2 linked regions of the Drosophila melanogaster genome follow. The protein of the gene in region 1 interacts with the protein of each later gene in a pairwise test. Each region holds a gene or a part of one and is shown on either strand. Other genes may lie near its edges. The genes, in order: Mvl and Sap-r.

Region 1 (8,233 bases):
TTCTCGAGTAATACTTAGTGATAACTGCAACTTTATTTAACATGCTAAGCGCCAAAGCTTTATGAGTACATAATACCCATAGCTCGATAAAGCAATCATAGAAGACTTACCACAGTCAAGCTTATAATCTATAGGACCCCATCGTTGATGGGTAAATGCTTTTTATGTACAATCGTAGTTCCCCTAAAGACATGCCTTACAAATGCTAAGGGTTGCGTAGAGCCCTACTAGGTACGTGTTAGTAGTGTTAAGCGTGTGATTTAGTGTTAATATCACAAGGGTGTGTGGGGGAGTGTGGCCTGATTGAGTCACCGGGATGATTCAGTTAGGCACTTTCTCCGAGACGGTATCAAGACCTTTCACCGTGTTAGTAGCTGAATCGCCTACAACTAAGGTTACATCACTGTGAAAAATCGAAAGAAGAGAGCACAGCAAAATACGGGTTGAGGGTTTAGTTTTAGTTCAGAGATGATAACCAAATGTAGATTAGTAAATAGAAAGTAAGTACAGATGAGATAAGATTAGAATCATTAGGAAGTTAGGCCGATTTGGTTGAAAGCAGAGCGGGAAAAAACTTAATCACAAGCAATGGGTTAGCAGAGAATGCTTTTAAGGAAGAAGATGCAAATCGAGAGAGTTTGTGCATTCGAGTGTGTTCTGGATGGTTATATGGTTGAATGGTTGGAATCAAAAATCGGGAACATACCTGGCGTACGTCGAGTTGGCGTTCTTTATCGAAAAGCTGTTCTGGCTTGGCAACACAAAACGCTGCACCCACTGTAAACAGAGAATACCTTGAGTACCAGTTGATGAAGTAGGCATAAGCCCTCAAAGCCCCCAAGAACCATATGTGGTCAGTCACGTAATTTGATAAAGTCAGTCCGTTCAGTGCGGTATCTGTGATGCTTTAAAATGTGTCAAAAAGTTCGCCTAATTTGTGATTCTCTAAGCCCATTTGATAAGTGACCCAACTAGTTGCGGCCAAGTACTTACCCGGCTGTTCATCAAACGCTGATTGCCCATGCAGGCAGCCATGTGTATCACAAGGTAGAGGTTGAACAGTATATACAAAATGGCAAAAATACCTGCAATTGGCAAAAGGAAAAATACATTAGATTCGGTTTAAATTGTGGCAATTGACTACTCACAGACTAGTGCCAGCAAGCCGCCTTTAATTTCCATATTCTCTACTTGCACCACCACAAAGTACAAATTAACGCCAATCACTACAATGGTGAGCAGTATGGATACGATTTTGTTGCCCCTGTGAATACAAAAATTTAAAGAATGCACGATAATCAATTAAAAGTGTCTGTATCACTTACAGTCCATTAACAAACTCGCCCATTATGGCGGCGCACGAGGTGAAGGCGATGGTGGGTATGGCAGCGAATGGCAGCTGGAGCGACATCACCGCATTCAGGATATCGTTCATGCTAGTCAAATCTTCCATCTTGCTGAACATGGCCAGGCAGAAGGTGGGAATAATGGCAATGCAGCGCGTGACCAGCACGCGACACCAGCGCGGCCACTGCAGATTCAAGAAGCCTTCCATTGAGAACTGACCGGCATAGGTGCCCGTCATGGTGGAACTCTGGCCAGCAGCTAGAATGCCCACACCCCAAATGTACATGGCGACAGCTCCAAATGTGCAGCCAAGGAAAAGTCCGCCCTTGTATAGATCTGCATCGATGATCGCGGTTCCATTTACATTGTCCACAAAAGACATTTTGGCATCTTCGTACATCGACTTGTCTTTACACACTTCAACCTATTGGCCCACAAAGAGTTAGCAATCATTTTACACATAAATTCAAAAGTCTACTTACCACATCATTATTAGTTTTGCCATACATGCCATGGGCAAACACAGCCACCACAAACAGGTTAATGATGAAGGACACAAACAAGGCTACCGACGCCTCGATGAAGAAGTAAAAATTCGCCTCACTAACTTTCTTTGTCTGGCGACGGTCTATATCGCGGGACTGTTAACAGAAAATTGTTATGTATTGGTATCTAATTACGAAGTCACAAAAAGCTAGTTGTGCTATACCTTAACCAAGGCGGAATGCAGGTAGAGATTGTGCGGCATAATAACAGCACCCACGACACCCACGGCCTGCAGCAACACATTCGAATTGCAGTTAGAGCACCAGGGCACAAACATTCCCTCGAGAACTTCTCCTTGATTAGGGGCTGATACAATGTACTGAAAGATATGAAAAATAAATTAATTATGACTTAAAACCATTTAAAAAATGATTATGGGGAGAAAACAAATTGTTCCTAGCTTATATTGAGATTTGGTTAGAAATAACAAAATACTTGTTACTCGTAGAAAAATCCCCTCGAGGCACCCCCACTTTTTTCCATTGTAATTATCTCCAAAAACCACCATCGGTAATTGTACAATTCTGCATTGTATAATCTAATTGATAAGACTGGCATTACACATCCCATCTGGAATTGTTAGTCATGTCCGGCAGCATCATGTGCCTGGCAAACAAAAGATGAAGTATCCAGCACCCACGCTCAGAACCCCATTTAGTGTGCGAGTGAAGCTTATCTAATCATCTCCGTCTGGGGCAGAAAGCTCAAGTACAATTGTTTATAATCTGGCCCGTTAACATGATGCGGTCGTAAACTTAAGAGTAAGAATATGGGGCTAGTTAACGGGCTAACTTCATCCAGAAATCGACAAGTCAAATGTAAATTTACTACTAGCGATCATTAAAATAAACCTAAACAGGCATCTCACAAATTATTTGCCATTGCGGTCGTTGCAATTGTTTAAACAATTCGTATTTGCACTCACGTCTGGTAATTTATTCTCTTGACTACTTTATTGTCATTTGGCAAGGGGATTTTTTGCTGATTTTGGCGATTACTTTTTATAGTTAAGTTATTTTTTTCAACTTTGCATTTTAAACTTACCTCATAGCCGAATGAGACAGCCATAATGGTGATGAGGGTGCCGAATAGGAACTCCAGCTTGCGTAGACCGTACTTGTCCAGAAACAGGAACGTGAACGTGTCAACAATGGTGATCAACACTCCGCCCCACAAAGGCACTCTACAAAATGGGGAAAGCACCGCATGCATGAGTACTGGGTACTGCGATAATCCGCTCATTAGATTTGCTTACACTTTGTTGGACAGCAGGTATATGGCAATGGCCGTGCCAATGACCTCCTGCATGTCGGATCCAATAATGGCTATCTCTATCATTATCCACAGTATCCAACGTGGCAGACGCTTGTACTGTCTGTAGCACATCTCGGCCAGATGCAGGCCTGTAACCACGCCCAGTCTGCCAGGAAGATAATAAACGCTTATATCATCATCTTTTTTGCAAGGTGTGGAGACCCAATTACCTTGCAGCCAAGCGTTGCATGAGCAGACCTAGGACTGTGGCCCACAGCAAGACCCACAAGATCTTGTACTTGGCCGCCGCACCAGACTGCATATCGGATTCGATGTTGCCGGGGTCCAGATACGCAATGGACATAAGAAAACCGGGTCCCGTGAAGGCCCACAGCTTGCGAAAGCTGAAACCCACCTGCAGATCACCAGATATTAGATAAAGTTTGAGTAGCATTGCTATTCAAGCGGGTCTTACGTTTGTGCTATCATCGTCGGGTATGAGGACCTTCTCGTCGCTAAAGTAGGCCTGCTTGGCGGCGGGTTTCAGGTAGGTCGTCTCGTTGAGTATCTGCTGGTGGTGCAGCTGGTTGCTCCGCTGACTTCCTCCGCCGGATGCGCCAGACGATCCGCCCGGTCCATCTCCACCGGCACCCGGCTCGTGGTAGGCCTCATTCGAAGACATGCTGCACAGAAGAGGCGAGGTTAGACTGGACCTAATTCGAGTTTCCACATGCTGCTATATTCCCGTCCACTGCCCATTGTCGACTACTCTAATTTGTATTTTCTATTTGATTGTTTCACCTGGCATCAGCTTATGATTCCCACCATTTTCATTTAATTGAGCATCTGTGTGTGATTCTAGCTCAATTAGCATTATCATATTGCACACAACAAACAAAATAATTTTGCGCTATAATTAAGTTTTTTGCACCATATAGTTTTATTTGGGGATTTCACCATAATCAAGAGCAAAGTCACAGTAACACGTTTTATTTTTTCCGAAACGCGCGTGGCAAAATATGAAAACAATAAATAGTTCGAGAGGCATTAGCTCGGGGGTAACTGATAACGCGTCCATAATATTACTGAAATTTGCTTATATTATGCGGGTATATAAGGAAATAAAACGAGCTCAGTGATTCATGAAGTCCAGTAATTGAAATGCCTCTGCCCAATTTACCCAGAGAACTTGCAGATATTTCGCATTTGCAGTCGTATAGATATGGATGGTCGAAAACAAGACTACTTGAACATAAACACGAGTCCATTGACCCGTGTATCGATGTGAAATTTTGGACTGTTTATTTGGTAAAAGCGATTACAAGTGCATTTCGTATACAAGATGCCTGAGCAGTCTTGGCTGCTCTTCAACGCAATACATTGAATGTAGAGCCAAGTGGCTCACCTTGACAAACGCGACTGCCCCACTGATGCTACATATCTGCTATAAGGCTTTCCACATCGCTTCATTGATGATTGAATCGGAGCAAGCAAAGACAAAGAGCTCGAGAGCATCGTGCAATGTCTACTTCACATTATATGTGGCACTTGGACGGGTACATTTGGCATATACTATAAGTAACCGAGTTGGCCATATCAAGCCGCCATTAATGGAGCTTAAATCGCGCTGCAGTGGCTCGAAGGAAATGTGTAACAACGAAATGTCGGAGGAGGGTGTTTAGTTCATTGGAACACTTTTGTGTTATATTGTGTGGCGCAGACTGCTCTGTTTACCCAGTTGTATGGCAATACCCACGCCCCCAAAAGCGGAATTCTAGCCGATAAGTGTATAATCAGCCACATATTTATGTACGTGTTCCTTTGCCACTTTAGTGCCCAGTTGGACGCTGTAAATTATGACAATTGGTAATCAAAAAAAAAAAAAACGAACCATTTCCATTAAGAGTCCAAATTAAGTGGCACCAAAAAATATCATGAGTTTATTTAGAGAAAATATATATTTTAAACTGCGTACCATTTTGCGCAGTCAGCGGGCAAAAGCAATTTATATTGTATATTGAAGCAGGCGAAACAAAACACTTGACAACAAAAAATTGACAAATGCAGATAACAGTAATTTGAAAATAGAAGAGCAATACTTATCAGCCCACATTGTTAAGTCGCTTGTTAAAAAAAAAAAAACTAAAACAGTAATTATACGATTTCCGCTGCCTAAAATAGTTATTTCTATGACAGTTCTCGCTGGCAATAAAAGTAGTGAATTGTGTCTGGAAAACTATCCATTGTTAGGGGATTTTAAAGTGCGAATAGCTTGTCAACAATTGTTTTCTGTTTACGGTTATTTACGGTTAAGAATTATACATTACTCTCTTTGCCGGTTAGAGGGAGAGCGGACGGAGAGAGGGTGCACCACGTTGTTTTTGTTATTAGCGCACACCTGCGTGCGCACTCACACACACACACGAAATATTGATGGAGATGTAAATTATTGGGCAACTCAGGTTAAACAGCACTTCCTACCAGTTAATGGCTTACTTGCAACTGGGGGTTAACTAATTGGAGCCCTCGCCTTTATTATATCACAATCTCGGCACTTGTGGCAGCTTATAAATGCATTTTCCTGCTTTTCTCGCGGAGCAATTTACGAAATTTACGAATTCCGTGACGTTGTACGGCCGAAACAAGAGTGGTGATGGTCGCAGTAAACGAAGCAGAGAAATGACGAAGAAGCGGACGGTTTGGCTGCCAATTGCTGACTTAGTTAACGACAATTGACGAGCGTGCAGGCAATTTGTGCTCAGCCGTGAGCGCAGCTCTTTGTTTATTAATTTTCCTCACAATATTTGAGATTCTGCCACCAGCTGCTTTCTTTTGCACGCACACTCACTCGCCTCTCACATGCACACTGTCTTTTCGTCTGTGCCCAATGTGGCAACCTGCGGCCACTCTCTCTTCTTTGACTTGCCGAAATCTGGCAACACTCGACAAGAGTACTAACCTTATCGGCCAAACTGAAGTTTTAACTCTGAGCCCACGCGATCGAGTGACTGACTATAGCATTTTGCGGTAGCCCCTATTTATTCAAAATATCTCTCTCTCGCGTCGGCAAGTGAGAAAAAGAAAGACAGAAAGAGAGAGAGAGAGAGTGTGTGCGTGGGAGAAAGACCACTGCTTTTTTTTGAGGGGAGATTTTTTGATAAGGCCTGAGATTTGGATTTTTGAAGGCCCCAGAAATACCGCCTAAGATTTGAACATGCATTTGAAATACCGGTTTGTACATCGACCGCAGGTTACCGTTAGAAATGTTATGCGGGATACATAGTTAAGTTGCATACCCTTTGAGTTACAATCACTAGTTAATAATATCTACGTTATTACCAACACGCACACTTTATCGTAATACCTCCTTGAAGTTTAATTTATACATCAACTTTATCAGTCAAAACTTTGATTTCGTCTGACACTTTTTTCGATTACGATCCGTCGCCAATAATTGCGATAAATCTTATCAAGTCTTTTTGGGATTGGCGCTCAAATTTACAATATGGCCGTACATCCTACTTATGTATGTTTTTTAACTAATTAATCACCACAATGCAAAGTACTCTTTCTTTGTTGAGCCCATATGCACTCACATTTGCACCATGAATCATGTCAGTAGCTCGTTTCATGTAACAATTTCTACTTTGCCAGATTACGATGCGTTCGGAACAGGCAGATAAGAATTCGGCCCATCCAAGAAAGGCCTTGACAGTTCTACCCCAAAATAGAGATATCCTCGTGATATTAGAAGGAACCCAACAATATGCTCGTTCTTATCTTCTTATAGAAATTTGTGAATTCCCGTATCCAATGAAATCATTTTACTTAGTAAAATGATTTGTTAGGCCTTAAAAAAAAACAAAAACACCCGAACTATCAGTACCACAATTTAAGAGAGAACTCGTTATTATTTAACTTTATTAATTATGTATTTCTTTATCAAAAGAGCAGACTTTTTGTTTGTGACTGTCTTCAACATTAGATCCGTCTTTAACATTAGATCAGATCACCTGACACGGGAAACTCTCGTAGACTTTATACAATTCAAAAAAACCAAAATCGTTACTTGACACAAATATCATAACTAATGCATAAAATATGAAATGAGAGATATCTAAAATAGCTTGGCATATTTTCTTGGTAAAATAAATGTGTTAAATACAAAGAATGTAAAATGCAATAAATGATACATATATCAAAAATGGAATACCACGGTTACTTTAAGTGCTAGCATAACAAATTACAATAATAATTCAATATCTAGCCATTCGTTGCACATAATTTGGAGGGTTAAGAGGGTAAACAATGGATGGGAAATGGGCTGGGTTAGTTGCGAATTGGTTTATATGGTTTATAATCCAACATCAGTATTATCGTTTTCGTTAGTATGTAAATACAATTTGATTTTGTTCTATCGTGAATTTCAATTGGAAGCTTTTATGAGTTCTGTCCCACCACCTGCACGTAGTTGGCTGGAAAGAGTCCGTAGCGGTTCTTGCACAATCCCCTCCACCACCCATCGTCGATCTTCTCGATGTGGGTGATCACGTCATCTGGATCAAAGGATATCTCGTCGTCATCCGCCGCCTGGTAGTCGTACAGGGCAATGGCGTGGATTCCGGTGTCCTCCAGATAGTCGGCCAAATTGTCTGAGTTCGCGTAGATTGCCTCCTCGGGAACGGTTGCGGTGCCACTCGGAGCAACAGCCTCTGAAACGGTTCCATTCGTTGGTGGCAAGGGCGAGGCAGCCTTAATCTCGGCCTGGTTCTGGTACAGTGGCTCTTCTTCAACTACTGGCTCAGGATCGGCTTGAGGTTGCGGCTCAGGTTGGACTTGGACTTGGGCGTGGACTTCGGGTTGAGGCGTCGGCACATACACTGGTGATTGCGGCTCACTTCTGGGAGGCGTGTCCACGGTCTCAACCTCAATTTGGGGCACCACATCTGGTGGTGGAGCTGCAGCCTTGGCCACTGGAGCTGTTTCCGGCTCTCGAGCGGGGACCACTGTCGGAGTAGGAGCAACCGCAGCTGATGTTGTACTTGCCGTTGGCTCCTCCTTTGCTTCTAATTCTATTTTAACAGGC
Region 2 (7,855 bases), 9.8 Mb from region 1:
CGAGCCACGCTGTAACTGTTCTTGGTGACATGGATATTGCGTTCCAGATCCGATGCCGAACCACTTAAAGTCAAATTGTACCTAGAGAACTTATTATTTTATTTTAAAAGCAAACTCACAAATAACAAATCATGATGTTGAGCAGCTCCTGCACGGCGTTTTCCTTCGTAACTATGAACGCCTCGGAAACACCCTTCGAAAGCAGAATGACCTCCAGCATAAACCCCTTTTCATCGGCATAATCGGCATAGAACTCGGCGGCAGTTTCTGGCGAAAAGGCAATCCGTCGATTACCCTGAATCTGGAAGCCCTCGGCCAGCAACTTTAAGAGCACCGGACGCCGCTTGTGCAGATAGTCCGGCTTAATGATAAACAGGGAGTTCTCAAACATGTCGGCTAGAAAATATATACTATTCCAAGGGGAATTGGGAATTTTCAATAATGTGCTACTATGTCGGTTTAAGTTTTCTGTATGATTTATAAGATCAATGTTCGTATTTTACACAGTTTTGCTTGATATCTTAAACTACACACACTGCTCAAATGACTTCGGACACATGGGGATATCGATACAAAGTTTGCGGCTCGTGAATTTCGCTAATTTTTATGTTGAAATTACGATAAGGGTACTGCTTAGTGTAAGTGTTAGTTTAGTTAAGTTTAACTTTTTTCAGCCGGCGTTTGAGTGCGTTTATAAATTCAGTTTCATCACAAATTCACCTAACAAATTTAGAGCCAAAAACCGGGGTACAAAACGAAAAGTAAGTAATTATGTTTCATTTACAGTAAATCGTTATAGAATGTAAACAGATATATGTAAAGGTATATGCATATATAAAGCGTGGGATCGGGTCCCTTCTCCTTCAAATCCTCCGCGCCTGGTTCGTACATCACAACGCATCACTTAGGCTGTTGAAGATAGTAAATTAGTAAATGTATTGTTTGGGTCCTTCAACCTATAGCTTACCTGAAATTCTAGCAAAGGCCAGCGAAGACTTCTCGCTTTCGAAACACTTGCCAATCTCGGCGCAAATATGCGACTGATCAATATAGGGTCGTTTGGCCAAGTTCTTAATGCTACTGCCATAGATGGAGATCATCTCAGAGCACTGCAACGCAAAGGAACTTATAGATATTTATAACATTCAGGATTGTAAGTTACATACGATCTTGTAGTACTTGGCTGGCAAGTTCTCGCATCCCACCGATGTCATCTGTAGGGCTGTCACTTCGGATACGTTATCTTTCTTCTCGCGCAGGAAGGGCAACAGAGCCTGGGTGACTCCATGGCACACACCACACTCCAAAACTTCATCGGTGACGGCCACGCTGAAGCAGAGCTGCAGTTTCTGGCACACCTGCTTGGGCGGCACATCGCTCAGCAATTTCAGGACCGCAGAGGCATATCCATCGACGAAGGTGTCGCACTGTTTGCGCACCGTGGCTGGCAGGCGATTGCACACGGCTTCAATCGCTCGCTTAATGTCGTCCTGTTCGGTCTTATTCTTTAGATCGGCATCCAACTTGGTCATGATAAATTCGCAAAGGACGCAGGTGGGCGGCTCCTTGATGCTGCTAGACAGCTTGTTGTCCTGGCGCGGCAGAGCAATCACGTCGTACTTCAAAGCCTCATCCACTTCGACTGTATTACGAAAATGAAATTCATTAGTTTAAACGTATACTTAACGTAGCTCTAGAATTTAATACTCACGATCATCCAGATCAGCCAGGATGCACATTCCCAACTCCGTGCAGATAAGCTTGGGATCCATTTCCTTTAACAGCAGATCGGCGATCTTATCGCCGTACTTGTCGATAACCTTGTGGCATTTAGTGTTCATTGGCTTCCTCATTCGGTCGCAAGACTCCTCCAGGATATGCTTGATGCTGTCTCTGGTGGGGTGCTTGCCCATACGCTTCTCCAAGGTCTTAACCAACTCCTCGCAGATCAGGCAGTTCGGAGCAGCGGTGAATCCTGGGTCGAAGGCCAGCTGAGGGGGCAGCTCCTCAAGGGACTCAATGTCATTGAAGCTGATTTCCTCACTGCTGGATTTGTCCTCACCATCGACATCGTCCTCCAGCGAGATGCGCAAGTCCCAGAGAGCGTAAGTGGTCTTTGGGCAGAGCTTCAGTTGGACGCAGATCTCCTGCGGCTTAAAATCTGTGATCAGCATGTCGATCAGCTCATTGGAATAGGTGTTCACGAAGTCTACGCATTCTTCCTTTATCTCGTTGGGCAGATGGCTGCAAAGGCCATTCAGAACCTTTTTGATATTATCCTTGGACTTGTTGTCGCGGATCTTCATCTGGGCCTGCTCAACGGCAAAGAGGCACAGAGGGCAAGTTGGGGGATCCTGCTCATCGCTGGCTGGCTGGGGATTGAACACTTCGACATCTTCCTTCTTGGGCAGATTCTTCGGGCACATCTGCATGAGGGGGCACACGTCACGAGGATTCAGTCCTTGGACGAGCAGAGCTATCACAGCATCGCCATACATCTCCACGAAGTTGCGGCATTGACCGGCAACTCCCGAGGGCAGTTTGGCGCAGATGTTCTCCACGGTGTGCTTGATCTCGTCATCCGTGGAGGGGGTAGCCAGAGTCTCCTGAATGAAATGCAGCATGTACTCACACAGGGTGCACAGCTCTCCACCCTCGACCAAAGCTCCGGGATTAGCTGCACCCATTAGGTGATCAATGGGCAGCTGCATGTCCAGGATCTCTTGCTGGCTGAACTTCGGCTCACTGGCGCCCAGTTGCTTCTTCTCGTGCTTCTCCAGCTTCTCGATGGTGATCTTTACCTGAGCCGGCTCAATAACAGGCAGCAGCGGCATGATTGGGACATCCTTCATCGAGGAGGCGGAGTTCTTCTGGCAAATGCCGATCATGCAGCAGGCTCCATTGGCATCTAACTTGCTGACCAGAGTCTCGTAAATCACATGGTAGTATTGGTCAACAATGCTAAGGCACTCGTCCTTGAATCCCTTTGACTGCTTGCAGAATCCTTCCATAACTTGCTTGAACTCCGTTTCAGTGGTGTTGGCCACCAAGACGTCGCGAAGGTGCTTTACTAGTTGCTCGCATAGTTCGCATGGAATATCATCGCCGGCATCCAAGGCAACTAAGGCTTCTTGCGGTTGCTTTTCCTCTTCATGCTGGTGATATCTGGAGGCACACACTCCGGACACATGGCACACGGCATCCGTGGTCAAGTGCTTGCTCACATGGTCGTAGATATCATTAAAATAGGTGAGCACAATGTTGGCACAGGCGTCTGAGAAACTAGATAGCGATCCGCACATATGAAGCATCGTTTCCACCATGTCATCGCGATCGGTAGCCGCAAATTTCGAGTGCATCAGGCGGGAAAGCAGGTTGCAGTTGCCGCAGGAAAGTTGGTTAGGCTGCATGGCCAACTCGGTCTCCTCGGAGCTGTCATCTTCATTCTGGACGGTTCCATCAAGACCAGCCTGAATGCCGTTCTTATACAATTCGTCGATGCGAGCACTGTTGCAAAGTCCGGCCACAGAGCAAACTTGCTGAGGATTGAAGGGAAACATTTTATATATCAATAAAAGGTTTAGGAGGATGTGTTGTAGAGGTGAAAACTCACATCTGGATTCATCTGCGAGGCCAGGGCCTCGACCAACTCGGGCAGGAAGTCATCGGCCACCTTGATGCACTCCTTCTGGATCGGCTTGATCGGAATCAGCTTGCAGGAGCCCTCGAAGACCTCCTTCAGCTCCTCCTCTGTCTGGTTGCTCTTCAGCTGGTCGCGGGCCTGAGTAACCATGTCCTTGCATATCGTGCAGATGGAGTCCGTGTCCACCGGCACCTTTTGGGTTTCCCAAACGGTTTGGATGCAGTGGCGGGTGGCACGACATTCCTTGGAGTTGCTGGAAAGGAAGCAGACATAAAGTTAGCAAACTTTTTTTTTGCTGTTAAGATAAACCCATCAGAGTAAGCAGTCGGATACTAAGCTGATTGTGCGAAATGCCGCTGTTCGGATCAAATGACCCGCATTCGTAATCGAGTGGCCAAGCCAGAATCGACGAGTCAGCAAAGACCAGAGTCCACTAAAAAGGGAGTAGTCCCCTATCCACTTTAAGAATGCACCCACAGCTCACATGATAATGTTGGGTCTTCAATGAATACAACGAAGCATTGGACTGGTAATAATTTTGATTTTTGAACATCCGAGACGGAACGAAATGGTTTAATAATCATCAAACTTATGCTGACTAAATCAAAGCCCATATCATCTCATATAAGCAAATAGCATTTAAAGCACAACACTTTGATGGAAAGTAACCCTATATTTGTTCAATATAAATCGATTTGACTGATTCGAACGGAAAGTGCTAATTTCCATTAACATGAAGAGACGCCTGCGGTGGAATCGCCAGGAATACCAAACAAAAGCGTCTAAATAGCAAAAAATCAGCACTGATAAGCACGGAAATAAACAGTACATATGTATGAATGATATATCTGGACGTATCCACGTATATATTATTCACTTGGCTGCGCATTCACAGATATTGTTTTCTGAATTTTCAACAGCAATGGCGACGTTTTTAATTTTTGACACTCTGCAATTGAGAAACAAAGAAACGGTTAAGAGCCAGAAATGGCGGATTTTCCTGGCCATTTAAAAATAAATCAATCAATAAACAAAGGAATTACGACTAGCGATAAGCGATGGATGGGTGCTTAACAAATGTTTTCAGTTGCCTATTGATCGCTTTTACTCTATTAATGATGCAGTCCATGTAAATGTTTTCAAGTTTATCTTGGTGTAACATACATACATATGTACGTACAGTATAGCTTCTGTAAGGTGATCCTTTGTGGCCGCAATGTAATATCACTCCATTGAGGAATTTACAATTGTGAGTATGGCTAAGATAAGGGTTTCAAGTGCATTGTGATTGTGTTAAGGCTTAGAAGTTGCACTTTCGGATGTTCCCCTGTACTCATCATACGCCTGAGGGATTAGTCAGAATTCGTTGATAAGGAACAACTGTTGCCGCCTACAGCGAATTAACAATGATAAACAAAGCAATCATGTGGTTTGTTTGGCGGTGCACAGAAAAGGGAGCTGTGTCAAAACGATCTGCTCCTCTGGATTACTCATGCATATAATCGGTGTCGATAAAGTTGTGCCCCCTACGAGCGCTTAACTCTGCCGTCTAAATGTTCCGACTGGCGGTACTGTTAATTTGATTTGTACAGCGAATGTGCAGACAAAGGAAATCCAGAAATATGGGATATGAAGGCAGAGAGTATTGCGAAAAGTGCACTCAGAGAAAACATCGAGTCTGTAAAACAATACAACGCAAAATAAGGGGACGCAATTAGAGCGGCACTAGTGTTAAGTTTGCAATAACAGGGGTTATCGGCGAATAGAGCTATGTAGAGCAAAGTGATTCGATTCCCGATTCGAGTGATAGTCTTATCGGCCGAGAACAAAACAGAACAGACGAGTCTTCGCTGCAAACAATGGGCAAGTGAGGCGGAGAAGTAATATCGCTATTTGGAGGGGGGTTAAGAGAGGTTAGCTTTTCGCCTTCGAGAACTTTGTGGTGTTCGATGACCAAGCGATTTATCCGAATATACCGTTTATTGTATCACCCACTTTTTTGCACTCACCTGAAATTTCCGCACCAGTAGGAGGGTCCCCAGGTGCACTTGCTGGAGCCCAAAAGGGGCGTGGCAGCGGCGAAGACGCCTGCAAGAAAGCAAACAAACAAAGAGAGCAACGGTTGAGGAACAGAGTGCACAGCACGAATACGCAATAAGCTATGACTAAACTATTATTGTGGTTCCCTTTCAACGTCGCTTTTCGCACTTCTCTCCATCTCTTCTCCACTCACCAAAGGCGCAGCACAGTGCCAAAACGGCCAAGAGGCCTGCTCTCTCCATTTTCCCGGTTTTAACTGTACTTCTTAAATGTCGGCGGAGATAGTCCTCTATTTGCAGCTACGTATTTATTTCTGAACGAAAACTGAAGTGCAATTGCAACGATTGGTTCAATTTTTTATTTGTCTGTAGTGTGGCCGCCGTCTGTTTCGTCAAATATATACCGTAGCGATATAATAGTGCGACCAGTCAGCGATTGAATTATTGTTAAATTTATTTAACGATACTTATGGAGCAAGACTTGGATAATGCTTTTAGCATAAAACCAACCCAGTGTATACTTAGCAATCAGGGGGGAGCATGGACTCGAACCGCACTCTGTTAATAACAGAGATCTGTTTTTGCCTTTCAAAAAGCCATAAAAACCTCCGAGGAAGCTATCATAAAATGGGGTCAGCAAATCATTAAACTTAAAATGGTATAATAAACAATTAAGTAACCGATATGAAACTATTAGATTTGGGCCACCTTTCTATAGGGTGTTAAGTACATGGAGTACTTGAATACGTTGTCCTTCAAATTATAACTTCAATTATCGTAGAAGAAAATTATTGCTCCTAAAGTCGGAACAATTTATTAAATCACTCACTCAATCAACAAACAAAGCCTTCGCCACCCGCAAATGCCTCACAATGTATTTATAATCGATTGCAATCCGCAGATTTAATTACATATTGCCGCGACGAAACTATGACAATAACCATCAGCGATGTTCTTGAACTTAGCGCGGTTATTAATACGCCCCTTTTTGCCCAGCCCCATCGCTTAACCCCCCTTTGGCCAACTTGGCCAACTGTGCGACGTGAACTGGCAGGCACATGATTAAATTCTATTGTAATTGCGGGTTAATTGATGTGAGCCTGCCCAGATGTAAAGCTCGCAGGCATAAATGTTGGGGAAAATGCATCTCACTCGTAATGGCCGGCTAGTAGATTTTTCTCGCGATGCCTATCGGCGTGTAATTCTCGATTCCGAGGTGCGTATCAAGATCTGTGTGAGAATCGTCTGAAGATACATTCGCAAAGAATGCCAGACACATTCTCACAGCGATTGAAAGTCGAGGTCATCTGGTGGTGTTTGCCCAACGAAATGCCAAATGCAAGCGCCGATCCGGCCAATACGGCCATAACATGGCTATATCTGTGTCAAAACCAACGATTTGGCTGTTCAGGGGCTTAGAAGGAAACCTGAAACCTGTCGTGTTGACCGTGGATTGCAACGCCTGCCGTGCATTTCGGTTCTTTGACGGAGATTAACCCACTGAGACCTTGCTGAAATACTTGGTACTTAGAACCAAAAATTGTGGAAATATTAAATTGCACTCGATTAAATAGGAATTGAATTTAAGGTTTATGTGACCTTAGGCGAGGTACCATGGGGTAGTAGAGGGTTAATTGCAGCCAGACACTGCACTTGACACTTGAAGTCTGGCTGCGAGATTGATATTATGGCAATTGAGTGGACCGCCGCCAAAGAACAAGTAATCAAGTTCAGCAGTGAAGGAAATTTAGGCAATTAACACGCTTATAAGTGAAGCAGTAAATCATTGGACTAACGTTTAATTTCGGAGTTTCAAGAGCGAGATAATTTTCTGCTTTTATCCGCTTTTTTATGTCATTCATAAATTTGTTTACTCTAGAAGCGACTGCTTGTTTGGGTCTTTGAATTCAGCCAAGCCAAGTTATAGTCGGACAAAGTACAAAGTACGCCTTTTATTCCCTCCCAATTAACTTGGTCAAAAATCAGGTTCGGAAAGAATTAAATGCATCCATCCACAAGAGTGAAATTTCCGGCAGTTCACACGCTGGCAGATAAAATCGAGGCTCGAGATACATTTTGTGTTGAGTGACCCGCGGAGAGATTGGTAACAACTCTAATTGCCGCGATTGCCAAGTGCGTCACATAAGGCCCGTCTAATGGCTAATTGTTTATG

What was found.
Region 2: the proteins of Mvl (region 1) and Sap-r interact in a two-hybrid assay, tested with the Drosophila melanogaster proteins (one large-scale study listed by BioGRID).

What each region holds. Positions count from the first base shown.
Region 1 is NT_033777.3:21,054,639-21,062,871, forward strand, and holds the start of Mvl (malvolio), read right to left. Parts: upstream 6,016-8,233; 5' UTR 5,947-6,015; exon of another isoform or gene 3,831-5,946; 5' UTR 3,830-3,830; coding exon 3,623-3,829; intron 3,563-3,622; coding exon 3,378-3,562; intron 3,314-3,377; coding exon 3,149-3,313; intron 3,077-3,148; coding exon 2,938-3,076; intron 2,213-2,937; coding exon 2,057-2,212; intron 1,989-2,056; coding exon 1,830-1,988; intron 1,772-1,829; coding exon 1,326-1,771; intron 1,265-1,325; coding exon 1,149-1,264; intron 1,086-1,148; coding exon 994-1,085; intron 778-993; coding exon 707-777; intron 404-706; coding exon of another isoform or gene 322-403; exon of another isoform or gene 10-321; intron 1-9. Other genes in the region: cortactin, read right to left, coding at 7,588-8,233. UniProt on the Drosophila melanogaster protein: Putative transporter required for normal taste behavior. May be a nitrite/nitrate transporter.
Region 2 is NT_033777.3:30,883,009-30,890,863, forward strand, and holds Sap-r (Saposin-related), read right to left. Parts: upstream 6,055-7,855; 5' UTR 5,926-6,054; coding exon 5,877-5,925; intron 5,819-5,876; exon of another isoform or gene 5,732-5,818; coding exon 5,653-5,731; intron 3,897-5,652; coding exon 3,614-3,896; intron 3,540-3,613; coding exon 1,712-3,539; intron 1,643-1,711; coding exon 1,167-1,642; intron 1,110-1,166; coding exon 968-1,109; intron 910-967; coding exon 905-909; 3' UTR 456-904; downstream 1-455. Other genes in the region: CG15547 (uncharacterized protein), read right to left, coding at 1-63, 120-391.